3 linked regions of the Daphnia pulex genome follow. Each later gene encodes a partner of the first gene's protein in a complex. Links are inferred from orthologs where the notes say so. Each region holds a gene or a part of one and is shown on either strand. Other genes may lie near its edges.

Region 1 (5,250 bases):
ATTTCCTTTGGGTGAATTTCGACCCCAAAAAGTAAGTTGCATTCAAACCACCTTGCCAGTCTTCCGGTGCAGGATTTTCTGTAGACATGGATCTAATAAAAATAAGAATGGAAATGAAATTCATTGACTATATTTGTATCAAAGGTTGTTGACACAACAAAAATGTCAACGCTCACACACCTTAACAAAACTTCTGCCTCGTCGTATCCGATGGGCTGAACAGGAATTTTGGGTAGTGGAGCTTCAGCTTCCGGCAGTCTGTAAGCGCCCTCTTATAACGTAAATATAACTGTTTTGTTAGTCTTATTGTGTTATTATTACTCTTGTTACATCCGCTCACTATACAGCTTTATATACCTAAGGCTGGGTACAGAGGGGTCAAAGGGTCGCCGTAACCCAACAGAACTGAACCACTTTGAACAGCCATGCCCGGAAGTCGCGTTGTGTTGGGATAGACAGATGTGCGCCCTTCCGGGGCGAAATCTTTGGGATCAGAAAAGAGTATCACTCCAAGAGCTCCTCCATCTTCGGCGGATTTCACCTGTAGTACAAATATCAAATGTTAGTAATAATTCAATACATTTTTAAAAATAATTGATTACGATATTGCCACGAAAAATCGCCCCATATCGAGCAATCACAATTCGACCACGAATGTCTATGCCGAGAGATTTCAAGTACTCAAAATCTTGTTTCCGACCATAATTTGCGTAAATGAGTTCCCCCTATGAAATGGTGTAATTAAGTTAAGTGTCATCAATAAAACAACGATAGAAATTTAATTTCACCTCGACAGTTCCGTTAGCTGAATAAGCGTTAAAATTGGGTTGAACTAACGGAGAGAATTCTTCGCTGGAAAAGAGTGGCGTCTGACGTCCTGAGGTGGTGAAGTTCACCTTGCCGTTGGAGTCGAGTAGCGAGACCTGATTGGGGTTGCTCATGTCTGGGTAGGAAAGCAGCACCTTGTAAGGAACCAATTGGACTTCGTCTAATCCTCCCTCGACGAAACGATCGCGCACCCAACTAGCCACTTCCAAATCCTGTGGAGTTCCAGCTAAATTCGGTATACTGCTCAAATATCTGTGACAATCATTTTGGGAGTTAATTAGACAATGAATCAAATTTGTCTTTTGATTAGCGATGATGTTGGACTTACTTGAGATATTCGCCAATATTTGATGCACTGAGCTCCTCCATCAAAGTGGCAGACATTTTCGCCTTCTGAGGCGACACGTCGTCCCTATCATTTCCGATAGCGTAACGACCGATGAGAATTCCTTTGTCAGGTGGAAAGATGAAGTCAAACCAACACATACAGTAACATTTCAAATGATTACGATACCTATGATAAGACAAATTACAGAAGCCGTGCAAATTAAAATCCAGTTGGGTTTTTGCGCCATCGTTTCGCTGCGATCACTTCTCCACACCCTTCCGTTCTCGTTTACTGTACCTCAAATAATAACGACGGTTTGAAAAGAAACAGGTTATTAAATAGCTGAAAATATGACAATGAAAGCACGGGAAGTGCGGGTAGAAAGTCGGGTTCGAGATTGCGTGTTCCATATGCAGCGGCACGCAAATACCTGGACAGTAACTAAGGTGATTTGACAAGCCAACCAGACCATCGGTTGCTTGTGGTTTAACACAAGACAGGTCGCATGCTTAACTGACGGGTGACTCTTGTAAAAAATGTAAACGCCATAGGCAATGAATACATTTCTTTAAAATCGCTATTACATAAATCTATTTTTTTTAAACAATTTTTTTTATTTTGAAAACTTCCCGATAGATGGTGTATAGTTTCACGCGTTAACCATAGGTGGAGCTTGTATTCATATTTCGTGTGAAAGCGTTGACAAACGCGAGGGATTACGGTTTGTAAATATTCCCCTGAAATTATTGTAAAAATGAGTGCTCCTATGAGCAAATTAGAATATCTGAAAAAGTACATGTCCTCTTCGAAAAAAGAAGAAAATAAAGTCAAGAAAAAGAAACTCAGGCCCTTACTGAAAGCCAAAGGGTAAGTCAGGCTTTTTGTGAACTTTAGACAATACACATCATTTTTTAATTTTAACTTAAGCTTTTTCTTAATCTAGTCAATTTGTTTTCATTTACTTATTAGGGGCATCAAGATCGTTGATGAAGAAATAGATTTGAGGAAGATAGCTGCAGGATACGAGAAAGATGAAGACCAAATTGACAACCAAGAAGATGCTCCTCTGGTGGCTGGGGTTGTCGATAATCGTTCCATAGAAATGATAACCAAACAAGACTTTGTGGAAAGTTCAAAGTGGAAGAGACTTGGTGTGGATGAAAATGACAAACCAAAATCCATGTCTAAATCAAGTGATCGAGATATTGATTCAAGTGACAGTCACTTACCAAGGAAAGATTCCACTGCCTTGAAACGACCAATCACAGTGAAGAAAGAAAGACATGATTCAGATTCAGATCCCAGTCCTCCACGTAGAAGACACGATTCTGATTCAGATGCCAGCCCACCTAGAAGAAAGCGCCATGATTCAGACTCTGATCCATCTCCACTTAGAAGAACGAGAAAAGACTCTGATCAAAGCCCACCACGAAAACGTCACGATTCAGACTCAGATGCTAGTCCTCCTCGAAGAACAAGGAAAGACTCGGATCAAAGCCCACAACGAAAGCGACACGATTCAGACTCGGACCAAAGTCCATTAAGAAGGCGTAAAGGCTCCGATTCCGACCAGAGTCCACCAAGAAAGCATCAAAATGCTGACGGTGATCTCAGTCCTCCGCGGCGGAAGAAAAACGTTGATTCCGGTGCCCAAATGCGCATCAAACCAGATCCAGACGGAGACCTCAGCCCTGAGCGTCCTAATAAATCAACATCACGCAGCGGAGGAGCTTCGGAGAAACTGACCAAAACCCTAGATGGAAAGATGGCCGGCCTTCAGACTGGCAGAGCTTTGCGTGAGGAGACTGATGCATTACGCAAGAGAGAAGAGGAAGCCTTCCGCAAAATGGACAAATCACTCACTGGGCAGAACGCCACGACTGCCATCCGAGCTGGCAAGCTGCGCCAAATTGAAGCCAAGCAACAGGTTGATAAAGAAAAAGCCGAGAAGATTGCCAAGCTGCAAGAAGCTTACCAAAAATGGAACAAGGGTCTTAAACAAGGAGAAACGCATTCGACGCAAGTTGCCGAAGCCATTCACGAAATGTCCAAACCGCTGGCTCGTTTCGCCGATGACGAAGATTTGGAAAGGTTGTTACGCGAACAAGATCGTGAAGGTGATCCCATGGCTGCTTACATGGCCAAGAAAAAGGTCAAGAGCGGTGGTGACGGCAAGGGGAAAGCCGCTAGACCTGTCTACAGGGGCCCTGCTGCTGCTCCCAATCGTTTCGGTATACTACCCGGCTACAGATGGGACGGGGTTGACCGCTCGACTGGCTACGAGAAGATGTACTTTGAAAAACAAAACAACGCCGTGGCCCTTCAGGAGGAAGCCTACAAATGGAGTGTATCCGACATGTGATTCCGATGATGAATTTACCTTGACTGAATAAAGCCATGCAATTACTTTTAGTAGCCAATGACGCCTGTCCTTGTTCTTAACATTTCCCTTTTTATTACCTCGACGGAATGGGGCCCATCCATCAACATTCAAAATTGCAGGGTTTTTTTCAGATTCAACGAGAGGCGCGCGGAGGAAATTCCATGCGGATGGCGTCAACACTTTGCACATTTTCCGAGTCGCGACTCTACCAGCAGTTCGTGAAAGTTGCCCAACCCATGTTGTAGAGGAGGTGCGGCTATTCATGAATCGTCCGTCGTGGTTGAATCGGAAAATTCTATCCGGAAGATGACACCCTTTCCGGCCTTGGCTGCCTTCAAATCATTTTTCTTCTGTTGTTCAGCAGCAGAAAAAGAAAAGAAAGAAAAGGCGTTGGGGTCGTTTCTGTTGAGTGTGTCGAGTGCGCTATGGCCAGATGGCGCTTTGGCTGAGTGTGTCGAAAGAGAAGGGAGGAAGGTCACGGCACGAAGTGGGCCGGCCGTTTTCAGGTGTGCCCTGTTGTCCGTGTTGTCTATGTTTCGGGGCTTTCTCTCTTCTCTTTTTTCTTGTGTTTAGTCTCCTCCTTTTTGATTCCCAGTTTATCCAGACCTTCTCTCTTTGCCGTCTCATTCTCTCTCTCTCTCTCACCACTGCTAAAGCCATTGGCCATTGGCTCGCACGACGAGACGAGAAAACATCACATCTCTTTTCGTCTTTTGAAAGTACCTACGCAGCCGCTCTTCTCCGAGCTTCAGTCTTGGTCGTAGCCACCTGGTAACACGGCCGCTGCTGGTGCTCAGTCTGTACCTCTTTGCTGTTGACTCTCTGGGTTTTTTGCCATTGTTGTGAAACGAGAAGAAAATTCCAGATTTGCAATTATAGAACTGTCGGATTGTTGTGCAGAAGTGAAAAATGCTGCGGATACTCGGCCTCGTTTCCCTCTTTTGCATCCTCTTCCAAGCTGCTTTGGCATCCAATTCTGAGGTAAGCACAATCATTCGAAAGAGTATTTTATTTTTTTTTCCCCATTTCTTCTAAAAAAGGATAGGCTTATTTATCTCAAAACGGTCACCAGTAAATCCTGTTAGGAATTTGTGTTTTTTTTTCTTCCTACCAAGCAGTGGCATCTATGATACGGGTGAAAATTCTAATCTTCTTCACGGCCTGGTCGTCACGTTAATTCTTTTTAGTTTGACCCATCTGTACAGTCGAAATCTTTTTTTCGTATGGAAATGTGATGGTTTGTTTTGTGTATACTTGTGTGGGTTACTTATTCCCTTCTCTGTTTCTTTTTTTGTTGGTATAGGAAAATGCGCTGGATATGAGCTTGGGCGAAGGTACAGTAAACACAAAGCATTTTATCTCGACAGAACGTTTCGAGTTGTCTAGAAATTTATTGATGGGATCTTGACGATGAATAGATGAATGCAGTATGATGGTATGCCGGGCTGGAAGAGAGTGTAAGGTGGGTGCCGATGGCGAGGCTGCTTGCGCTTGCCTGGCCACTTGTCCGGATCATTTTGTCCCCGTCTGCGGCAGCAACAATCAATCCTACGATAACTTTTGCTTGATGCATCGCGATGCCTGTCTGACGGGCGTTCACATCAGTCTCAAGAAAAAGGGATACTGCTCCAACAAGTCGATCAAGAAAAAGTCCAGCAAAAAGGATAAACTTAAAGATGAAAATCACTTTGAGCCAGGTAAGTTTTATTCA
Region 2 (4,110 bases), on another chromosome or scaffold:
GAAGGAGTGTGAAATGTATTTAATGATTATTGAAAGAATGAATTCAAACTATCCACGGTTCATTGAAATTATCTAGTAACACAAACAAATGTGAACTCCACTAAATGAAATATTTGGAAAAACTAAAAATGATTCTCGGAAACAGACACCGAAAAATGGCTACCTGGTCGTAAACAAAATACTAACGATTTGAGACTCTGAGTTGCCAGCAAAGCAAGTTCTTTGCCAAGTCGTCGTTTTGAGTCTCCCCACACCGCCCACACTGCCAGAAACTTTTCCAGACCAGAGCAATAGATGCCTGGTCGGTTCTCGGCTGTGTTGGCTTCCCTATCCCGGTTTCAGGGTAAACGTGGTCCGATTTGGAAACTGGAATGAGCGCTCTAGTGAGTGTGTCAGCTACTACGCTCAGCTACTTTTGAGAGCCTAGATGGCTCTATTTCCAGTTTCAACTTCACAATTCTGACAAGCTCCGCCCTAAAATGTCTGAAAATCGGGGATACGTTTAGTCGTTTACCCTAAAACCGGGATAGGGAAGCCAACACAGCCGAGAACCGACCAGGCATCTATTGCTCTGCCCAGACCTAGTCACTCTCATGTTAATTTTTCGTCTATCAGAATATAGGCCCCACCCTTGTGTATCGTCTGGAGAGCATAGATGGCGTTCAACAATTCCGAGCTCAACAACTATCTAACCTTCTGGCAGTGGCGCTGAATTATGTTATTTATATATACCACATAATATAAATAAGGTAATAATATTACATGCACAATCTCTCATCGTGATTGACGTGATCAAGCTTAATTTGTTTAATTAGCGTCAATAAATGAAATCTTTCATTACCGAAAAATTGTTTTAGAATTCTCATTATTTTTTTACTATTAATTTTAATTTAACATTAATTTCCAGCCATTATATTTCTTCTAATGGTGTTTTATTTGCAACACTCCTTAATTTTCAGTTTATTTGTAACCTTTTCATTCTTAATTCCTCTCAACCCAATGCTAAGATGGCTAAGAAAAGAGTAATAAAGTGGAATGTTTTAAATAATTTACAATTTGGATGACATTTATTTTTCAGCAGTTAGGCTACATGATTCTTTCCAGTGCTTCCAACATTATAATTGAGTTTCCACGAACAACCTAAATTTACATATAAATAGTTAATGGTATTTGAATTTATGTATGCCATGTTAATTTTAAACATACCACCATCCCTATGTTATTTTTCGAACCATCTTTAACTTCTTCAACGGTTTCATCAATGACCAAGTTCATGAATGGATCAAAACCTCTCAAGATCCCAACAATGTTCCTACCACCATTCAGTTTCACTGTGAAAAACAATTCTTCAAAACAGTTTTCAATAATAATTTAACAAAAAAATAATACTTACAAGACATTCTTTTATCCATGTACCTGTACAAAAGAAGTAGAGATCATTATTAAAAATGTAAATATAACTTAAGCAACAATACATACTTCTTCAACTCTGGTGGATGGGCCTTGCTCATTTTGGTTTGAAATAACTAATATCTAATATCTACGTTGATGAATATATCACTAACTTCAAGCAACTAGGAAAAAACGTGATACACCAAGAAAGTTTGGATCGTTTTTAATGTCCGATGCGCGATGCCAAACGTTAGGAACGCGTGTTTGCCAGATATTGAATTTAGAAACTGGCGGCTTTGCGAGACCGGCGACGAGACCTGGCGGCTGGGCGCTGGCGCGCTAAGGAATTTTTTATACAGCTTGTGGCTTTTTTGCCTTATTAAAACAGGAAAAAAATTACGATCTTCAATTAATTGTATAAATTAGCAGCTACAATTCTGTAAGAAAATATTTTTTAGCAGTTTATTTCTATAGCAAAATGACTACCAATTACCTCAACTGGAATGGAAACTACACCAATATACTTTGAGCAAAAAAAAATAAACTGTGGAAGTTACTTTAATTAAATGTGTTTTTCTGTTGTTTTTTTCATTTTCTAGTTGATCTAAGAAACTTGTACTGAGATATTTGCACTCGTCCACAGTAATTCAGTGATTGACTCAAATTTACAGGCCCTTGTTGTAATAAACAACAGTTGGGGGATTCGGGGATTTTCGAATCTTTGCCTGAATTAAAAAAGAAAAGATGTATGTTAAAACAAGAACCACATTAAAACGCTATAAAAAATTACCTGTAGCTCTGGTTCCAGACTGTCAACCGAAATCGATGCTTTTTGAGGAAACAGGGCACAACACATTGGAGTAGCGAAAGTAAGTAATACGCCACCTGTAAGCCAAATAATAATACATAATTGGCCGTTTACAACTACATGATAAATAGTTAATGTTTCATACATAAAGTAACTTGAATAGGTGCCGCAGACCAAGGGAATCGCTTCAAGAAGCCCTTTCGATCCAAATAATTCATCAGCAGAGGTGGTAGGACTGCATATTATTGTGCTGGATGTTTTATTTTTATCAGATTACTATCGTATTACATGAATTACCCATTCCAGGAGAAGCCATTCCGATACGACTAAGGACAACTTGAGTGATACCCCATTTGGCAGCAATCGAAGATTCACCGAGTACATTTCCGTTCTCATCAGAAACTGAGATTCCCTTTTGAATTTCACTAAAAAATCAGTCGTATTTTAAAGCATTAGTTATCTTATGCGACGAGAAAATGTTTATCTTACTGCATTCGCATCAGAGGAATATTTACACAGTTAGCGGCAGCAACAGCTGCAAAGGGTACCAAACGCCCAATAATAGGAGACATTGACTAAAAATTAATTTCTCATAAAGTTATTTACATTATGGTCCATTATATCAAGTTAATATTTTTGATACCTTGGTCAAGCTATTCAAACCAAGAGCAGTGACTAAAGCCCCACTTGTTGCCAGTGCATAAGATGTACCCAATTGTCTAAAAAATCAATAGATTATTATAACTTTCAGTGATTTATTTAAAGGAAACTAATTTATTGGTACTGATTGGTGATTGGGGAATTTCCAGATCTGTTGGTATAGTTGACAATGGCATTAAAAGACTGATTAATCCATTGCCAAAAAACAACTGCTGGAGTTGTTCGATAGAAAGTCATCATGCAACCAGTGATAAACATGTTACATGGAACCTGTGCACTCATTCTGCCAATAATCAACATTTTATCCCCTGTGTCTGGATGGAAAGCAGAGTCATAAACATGTTTGGCTTTCCATAATTCTGCAACAGTCAATCCATTTAGTTGCCCATCTTTCCTGCTCAAAATGTAAGTTGTAAATCATTATCTTTATAAATTCCATGTGCGGACTTCACCTGTATTTGGTCACAACTTCTTTTGCCTTATCCAGTTCTTCATCAGAGCACAGCAGATTTAGCGGATTCGTGGTAGTAAAGAAGTGGTTTGCTCGCCCTTGATAAGTTGCCTGATCCCATCTAGGCTCATCTATCTTTATTTGTTCCATGCTAAAGAATTCGTGATCCAAACTATCATGGAAAAATCCACACAAAATCAAATGCAAATCAGTGTGGATAAAATCAAATAAAAATAAACATTTACCCTGTTATTACAGAGAGGCGCAAAAAATGAATTAATTCAGCAGCCAGCTGATATTTTTCACTACAGCATTGCCAGATAAGTGCATCTGTACGACTGTGTCTGTCGGTATCTTTAGTCTCTATCTTTAGCCAGCGCAGCGGACATTGCATTCCCGATAGGGTTTTTTTTTGCGGAGTTGGTGTCTTTTTAGCTTTGGGTTCGATGTTTTTGTTCGATTAATCGTTTTGTAGGGATAAAAAAAAGCCTCATAACAATATGAACGGGAAAAAAAATTGCTAACCGAAATGAATCCGCCCAAAAAATTAAAAACCTACGCGCGAGTTTGACTCGAAAGTATGGGGTGACAACTTTCTTTATTGACACGACAGTCGACAGCAATGTTGGGTCTTGTATGTTGACATATTGGTATAGCTGATGTGATATTTCCACCAATCAACAAATTCTCATGAAACATTTTAATGGCATTAAAATAGATTCTTGAATGTGGAGGGAACTCTTATGATGCAGTGTCATTGGCTGAGAAATCGGCTCTTTTTTTGCAACACAAATTCCAT
Region 3 (5,696 bases), on another chromosome or scaffold:
TAATAGATTAGAATGATTAAGCCGTTATATAATTTTTAAAGTTTTTGTACGTATGTTGAACGTGAATGTTAACGGTTATAACAATTAAGAATTAACAATAACCCATCGAGAAATGATATATATTCCTTTCTTATGTATATTCCCCCCCCCCCACCTCCCCGTTTTGGGTTCCATTCAATCTCATGATACGTACTATATGCTTTACGTGTGTTCCCGTGAAGTGTTTAACTAGGTTACCATATATTCGCTAGCCGCTAAAGATAGTAAATTCGCCATTTCAACTATAGAAAATACTAAGCTTCACAAATAAATGTATTTGTCGAAGCAGCCCTAACCTTACATTTGCTTTTCAGCTGTTAGCCTGTAAATAAATATATCATTTTTGAAACTACCAAAGAAATGCAAAAAATTAAACGATACCAACAAAAATACAATTTGTTGCTGAATTTCAAAAATGAGATGATACATTACCTTGGGAAATCACTGTGTCAATATTGCTCACTGGATCGGAAAATGGAAAAGATGAAAATGGAAATTGCTGGTAACCTTCTTGAAATTCCGTAGGAATATCGAAGCAGCAAACACTGCCGATTCCCATTGCGAAAACTATTGATACTAAAAGTAACAGAACGTTCACGGTACAACATTTCTTCATTTCTATGTGTACAATCCACACCAAATTCGGTCGACGGTTTGTATTTTAGAATGTAACAACAACGAAATTTCGTCACAATTCCGCTTTTGAAGTATAACACTCAGTGTTTCCTGATAACGGCTAGTTCCGCGTTGGAAGACATAGCACGGTCGCGTAACTTGGTCCACTGAAGAAATCACGACTGGGAGCAACGACAAGTAACAAAAAAGAAAAGCAAGTCCGAAAGATTTAACGGCGAAAAGGGAGGCGCTTATACACAATGATCCATAATTTGATTGAAAAGCTATGATGACTCATGTGACGTTGATAGTTTTATCAAAACATTTCCTTGTAACTTGTGAAGAGACCAAACACTACCTCATTGCGAGGCACTAGGAACACCACTGAATGCCTACCGCTCGTGGTTGGATTTCGTAGACTTTTAATCGTAACATTTCTCTTCGTCATCCTTTCATTTGTTCTGCTCTCTCCTCACTTTCTCCTAGGTTCCGCAATTTCCAATGGTTTACCGAAGAAATCCAGGTCACGTCGCTATTAAACTAACGTTATACGCTGCATGGCTGTTTACGAAGATTCATCAACCATGGAGAAGCAGCCACGCAAACTATGCGCCCTAATACTTTCTATTCACAACCGTTTACACATCAATTACGCTTAAACACTAACAATACCATTCAGATGTATTTAAAATTATGCAAATTCCTCTGAAACTCCCCATTTGTATGCGCGGTTGTCTCAGATATATTTGTTTAAGGTTTACAATGATTGTTACGGAAAAACCCCAAAATAGGTGAAAAAGTCTAAAATTTGTCAGCCTGCCATACGTTCAGTGTGTCATGTCGCGTCATCGTCCGATAGGCGTTTCATCCGGCTTCATCCTCATCACGTTCACACGGTACTTGCGTTTCCTCTTGCTATTCGATTTTGTTGCGGTTGTTGTTCTGAAGCCTCCGTAAAGTTGCTTGCTAATTACATGCTAATAATAAGTATCGCAGCAGCAGATTCGTTTACCAAATTGGGAGAAAATAGAATTTGGAGAAAGCAGGCCATACTTTTATTGTTTGGTACATTGTGGTCATAGCTTCATCCATGACTTGGTTTGTCCTATTCCTTAGTCAATTAATAACCTTCAGCTAAAATACACAACTTTCCAAAAAAGAAACTGAATTTTCGTCTTTGCCTACTAAAAGTAGGTCGGGTTATTAAAAAAAAAAATTCCAGATTTCATAAAAGAAAATTTGTCAGGTTGATCGCGGTAAAGTTTAAGTTTTTAAATCTAATGTTTAAAATATATTTATTGTAATAAAAATACTCTTAGCACAGTAGAAAACAAGATACAAAGGCTTTCCTCACACTTTAGATTTTTCAGTTTCTATACCTAAAACAAAACGCAATTGAGATATTATAGCGGTAGGAATAGGAAGATGAGGAAAAAGGGTTTCTAGATCAAATTAAGGGTATGGAGCTATCCAGCAGATTTTTAATTTTTTACAGAAATGCAGATTTCAGTTTTGGGACATCACAGTTGAAATCCTGATCCCAAATTTTAAGAGAAAAATAATTAAAATGAATTTATTAACTAATTATTTCATGAGTGATAAAGAAATAGTTGGGAGAGATTTTTTGAAATTCCAAATCAGTAAATCACGAGCTTAGTTCTATGTGTGTCCTATAAGGAAATCTATTTTTACTAAATCCATACGATACAACGATAGTTATCGAATAAGACTGAAGATAAGTGAATTTTTCCGTCAGAAACTCAGAATTCAAGAGCGATAAATGTATGAGTATGGCCAGCATAGTATCAGGCAACTCTTATTTACAGTGCGTTGCAATCGTCTGCCACCAGTAGCGCTGTGAGTCGAAAGGATAAAATGGTTTGTTTGTTTAAAAAAAAACCAAACACAGTTCGCTCGAACTAGCAGCCAACAACTCCGAACTAGACATAGAACTGACATAGATGCTAGATTGCTACTACTACTAGCTTTGTCGAGCTACACATTACCTCTGCACATTATACACATCAAAACACGGAATTTTAATTAGTTTCATTTTGATTTTCTTCCTTTTTCTCCTCGATTTACAACAATGAGTAACATATACGTTCAAGAACCACCAACAAATGGAAAAGTTTGTATTCTTTTCATGTATCATTGATTGAACTACGTGCTAAAACGTAACTTTTGTTTAGGTTGTTGTGACTACTTCTCTAGGAGAAATTGAAATAGAACTGTGGAGCAAAGAATGTCCAAAGGCTTGCAGAAATTTTGTTCAACTATGCCTTGAAGGATTTTTCAATGGAACAATTTTTCACCGAGTGGTACCAAATTTTATTGCTCAAGGAGGAGATCCTTCTGGTAAAACTTAATAATGTGATCTGTTGTTATTTATATTTGATTGAAACAATTACCACCCCTTTTTCTTAGGGACTGGCCATGGTGGTGAAAGTATTTATGGGGAACCATTCAAGGTTACATAGTATTCATTTGAATAGAATTCATTATTTCAGTCTTTATTAACCTTTTACAATCTTTTGGTATTCAGAACGAAGTTCATTCACGTCTACGATTTGTCAGAAGAGGTAAAGCAAACATCTTCTGTGTTTTTATTACATAATGTACCATTTCAAACATCTTTTTAAGGATTGGTTGCAACGGCTAACACTGGAAACAATGACAATGAATCACAGTTTTTTTTTACCTTGGGTTCTTGTCCGGAACTGCAAAATAAGCACACAATTTTTGGTAGGGTTGCTGGGAATACTTTGTTCAACATGGTAACTGACAATTTGTTAATTACGCTGGGAACAAATTATTCAAGAAATTCTAATGTACAATTTTTTCTCTTTCTCATAGATCAAATTTAATGACTTGGATATTGATAGTGTAAGTATATTTAAATTTTGAAACTCAAATAATAAAATAATAAAATCAATAAAATCATAAACGCTATAGGAAGATAGACCTCGTCATCCACCTAAAATTTTTAAAACAGAAGTTATTTCTAATCCATTCCCTGACATTGAACCAAGGATTAGCCAAGAAAATATCAAGAAACCAGAGGAAATAAAATCTAAAATAAATAAAAAAAAGTATTAAGTCCAGCTATGTAATATTGTTATAACTGCTATAAGAGCTTGTGTTTGATTCTGTAGGAATCTTCAGCTGCTTTCCTTTGGGGACGAAGAAGAAGATGAAACAGATGTTCATCAGCCAACTAAGTCTTTTCGTGGGAAATCTTCTCATGAACTGACTAACGACCCTAAACTTAGCATTGTTCCTGCAGTCAACGTAGAAACGGGGTTAACAAATAAGTACGTTTAATAGAACAAGCCGTCAGATCATTTTCAAAGACTGTGTATGGTCTACATTCATATGTAAAATTTCCATGTCATATTTTCAGCGACAAACCGACAAAAATTGAACGGCAATTTGAAAAGGTTGTGCCTCAAACTGATTTGCAACCAGAAGTATCACCTGAAAGTGTAGATGTTGACATTTCGAACCAAAAGAAATCTGAAGCAAACAACAAACTGTAAGAAACAAACAAGTCATAACAATTACTTGATAGTTATGCTCATAAGTAAATGCTTTACTTTTAGAAAGCAAATCAAAGAACAGATAAGAGACTTGAAAAGGGAAATGAAAAACCCAAGTGAAACTCCTCAAGATCAAGAATTATCTAAGAAAAGAAAAATTAGCGACAGTGAAGAAGATAATGAAATACTTAAAGATTTTCATGAGCAGCAGAAGAAGTATGCGGACATAAAAACAACACGGCGAGGAAAGGGTAAATAGATCAATTGTTTAAAATATTTGTTACCTCATCATATCATCAACAAGTTTTAATATTCTATTTGGAATAGGCACGGACCGAGAAGCTGAAACCCTTAATTTCCTTAAAAAATTTCAGAGTAAGCTTAGCCAAACTCGGACAACGAAAGGAGGCGTTGATGATATTGATGACGTAAACGATGATGATGCATGGTGAGAAATAATTTTTTATCCCTATAAATTTGAAAATTGCAGAATTTCTTTATTTCTTTCTAGGTTGAATCACACGTTGAAATTCGAAGACAAAAATCCTTCGTTAGCCCGAGATGCTAATACAAAAAGTGATGATTGGTTTGAAATCTACGATCCCCGTAACCCCTTAAACAAACGAAGAAGAGAGGAATCAAAGAAGATCATGAAAGAGAGGAAATTCAACTAAAAACTAAAAATGATCTCCAGTTTTGAAATGCACATATAAAACTCACCTTTGTTTGTTAATCTCACCAATTTCTCTTTGATTCAACGAGCTTGAAAATCAGAAACAAATGTCACTTAGGCTTGCTGGAACATAAACTTGTGTGTCAATTGTAGCCAAAGTAGTCTGCACGCGTAAAGGAATTGTTATGTAAAGGAAAATTCTCCAAAATTTTTCGTGGGATCAATATAAACGGGATTGGTCACGAACGGTCACGAAATAACCGGGGATAAAAGCAGCGTGCCTGTGTCGGTTATCTGTTGAAACATCGGACTTATGCAAAAGAATCAAGAATAGGAAATTGCAGAGCTACTAAATGTTGCTAAATGTGTGACGCGTGTTTTTATCAAACCAAATGGTAAATGCGCACGACTAAATAAATGGACTCTTCGGGGGCGCTAGGGCGGGGGCACTGGAGACTTGGTCGAAGTTGATTTTGACTTCACAAAATTTATTTAAATGAATTAAACAAGGTTCTGTTTTCTGTCTCTGCTGTCTTCGTTTTCTCAGTGAATCTGGATAGCCAGATATGGAAGCCTAAAACCGGCCTATTTTCAATATAAGACTAAACTTAATTGATCATTCCTTTGATTTTTTGTGTTCGCGATGCCTCAAATACAAAAAAGGAAAAAAAAGTCTATTATATTCTCTATATATTCATATAATAGACATTCGAAGTTTGAAATCAGCTTAGACTTTTTCATTTACGGTGAAAAATGATTTATTTTAATGATTTGATGAAAAAGCTACATTTCCTATCGATAATTCTTTTTACGAGCCCTTGAGAGACTTT

The links.
Region 2: BUD13 homolog (region 1) and probable small nuclear ribonucleoprotein G share a complex: the UniProt entries of both Homo sapiens proteins name them as parts of the minor spliceosome. The link is inferred for Daphnia pulex from reciprocal best matches to the Homo sapiens genes BUD13 and SNRPG.
Region 3: BUD13 homolog (region 1) and spliceosome-associated protein CWC27 homolog share a complex: the UniProt entries of both Homo sapiens proteins name them as parts of the activated spliceosome. The link is inferred for Daphnia pulex from reciprocal best matches to the Homo sapiens genes BUD13 and CWC27.

What each region holds. Positions count from the first base shown.
Region 1 is NC_060019.1:12,605,872-12,611,121, forward strand, and holds BUD13 homolog, read left to right. Parts: upstream 1-1,887; 5' UTR 1,888-1,910; coding exon 1,911-2,023; intron 2,024-2,125; coding exon 2,126-3,518; 3' UTR 3,519-3,571; downstream 3,572-5,250. Other genes in the region: glutamate carboxypeptidase 2-like, read right to left, coding at 1-92, 181-271, 358-541, 603-725, 789-1,080, 1,157-1,277, 1,343-1,403; follistatin-related protein 1-like, read left to right, coding at 4,449-4,520, 4,843-4,873, 4,958-5,236. UniProt on the Homo sapiens protein: Involved in pre-mRNA splicing as component of the activated spliceosome. As a component of the minor spliceosome, involved in the splicing of U12-type introns in pre-mRNAs.
Region 2 is NC_060026.1:11,525,378-11,529,487, forward strand, and holds probable small nuclear ribonucleoprotein G, read right to left. Parts: upstream 1,670-4,110; 5' UTR 1,512-1,669; coding exon 1,480-1,511; intron 1,417-1,479; coding exon 1,394-1,416; intron 1,332-1,393; coding exon 1,207-1,331; intron 1,141-1,206; coding exon 1,087-1,140; 3' UTR 1,049-1,086; downstream 1-1,048. Other genes in the region: sideroflexin-1-like, read right to left, coding at 2,058-2,117, 2,183-2,277, 2,346-2,435, 2,498-2,625, 2,690-2,775, 2,844-2,919, 2,985-3,254, 3,313-3,461. UniProt on the Homo sapiens protein: Plays a role in pre-mRNA splicing as a core component of the spliceosomal U1, U2, U4 and U5 small nuclear ribonucleoproteins (snRNPs), the building blocks of the spliceosome.
Region 3 is NC_060020.1:8,995,201-9,000,896, forward strand, and holds spliceosome-associated protein CWC27 homolog, read left to right. Parts: upstream 1-2,348; 5' UTR 2,349-2,743; coding exon 2,744-2,785; intron 2,786-2,846; coding exon 2,847-3,012; intron 3,013-3,081; coding exon 3,082-3,125; intron 3,126-3,199; coding exon 3,200-3,236; intron 3,237-3,297; coding exon 3,298-3,431; intron 3,432-3,510; coding exon 3,511-3,540; intron 3,541-3,609; coding exon 3,610-3,746; intron 3,747-3,809; coding exon 3,810-3,968; intron 3,969-4,057; coding exon 4,058-4,189; intron 4,190-4,256; coding exon 4,257-4,444; intron 4,445-4,520; coding exon 4,521-4,641; intron 4,642-4,704; coding exon 4,705-4,867; 3' UTR 4,868-4,912; downstream 4,913-5,696. Other genes in the region: trypsin-1-like, read right to left, coding at 472-655. UniProt on the Homo sapiens protein: As part of the spliceosome, plays a role in pre-mRNA splicing. Probable inactive PPIase with no peptidyl-prolyl cis-trans isomerase activity. As a component of the minor spliceosome, involved in the splicing of U12-type introns in pre-mRNAs.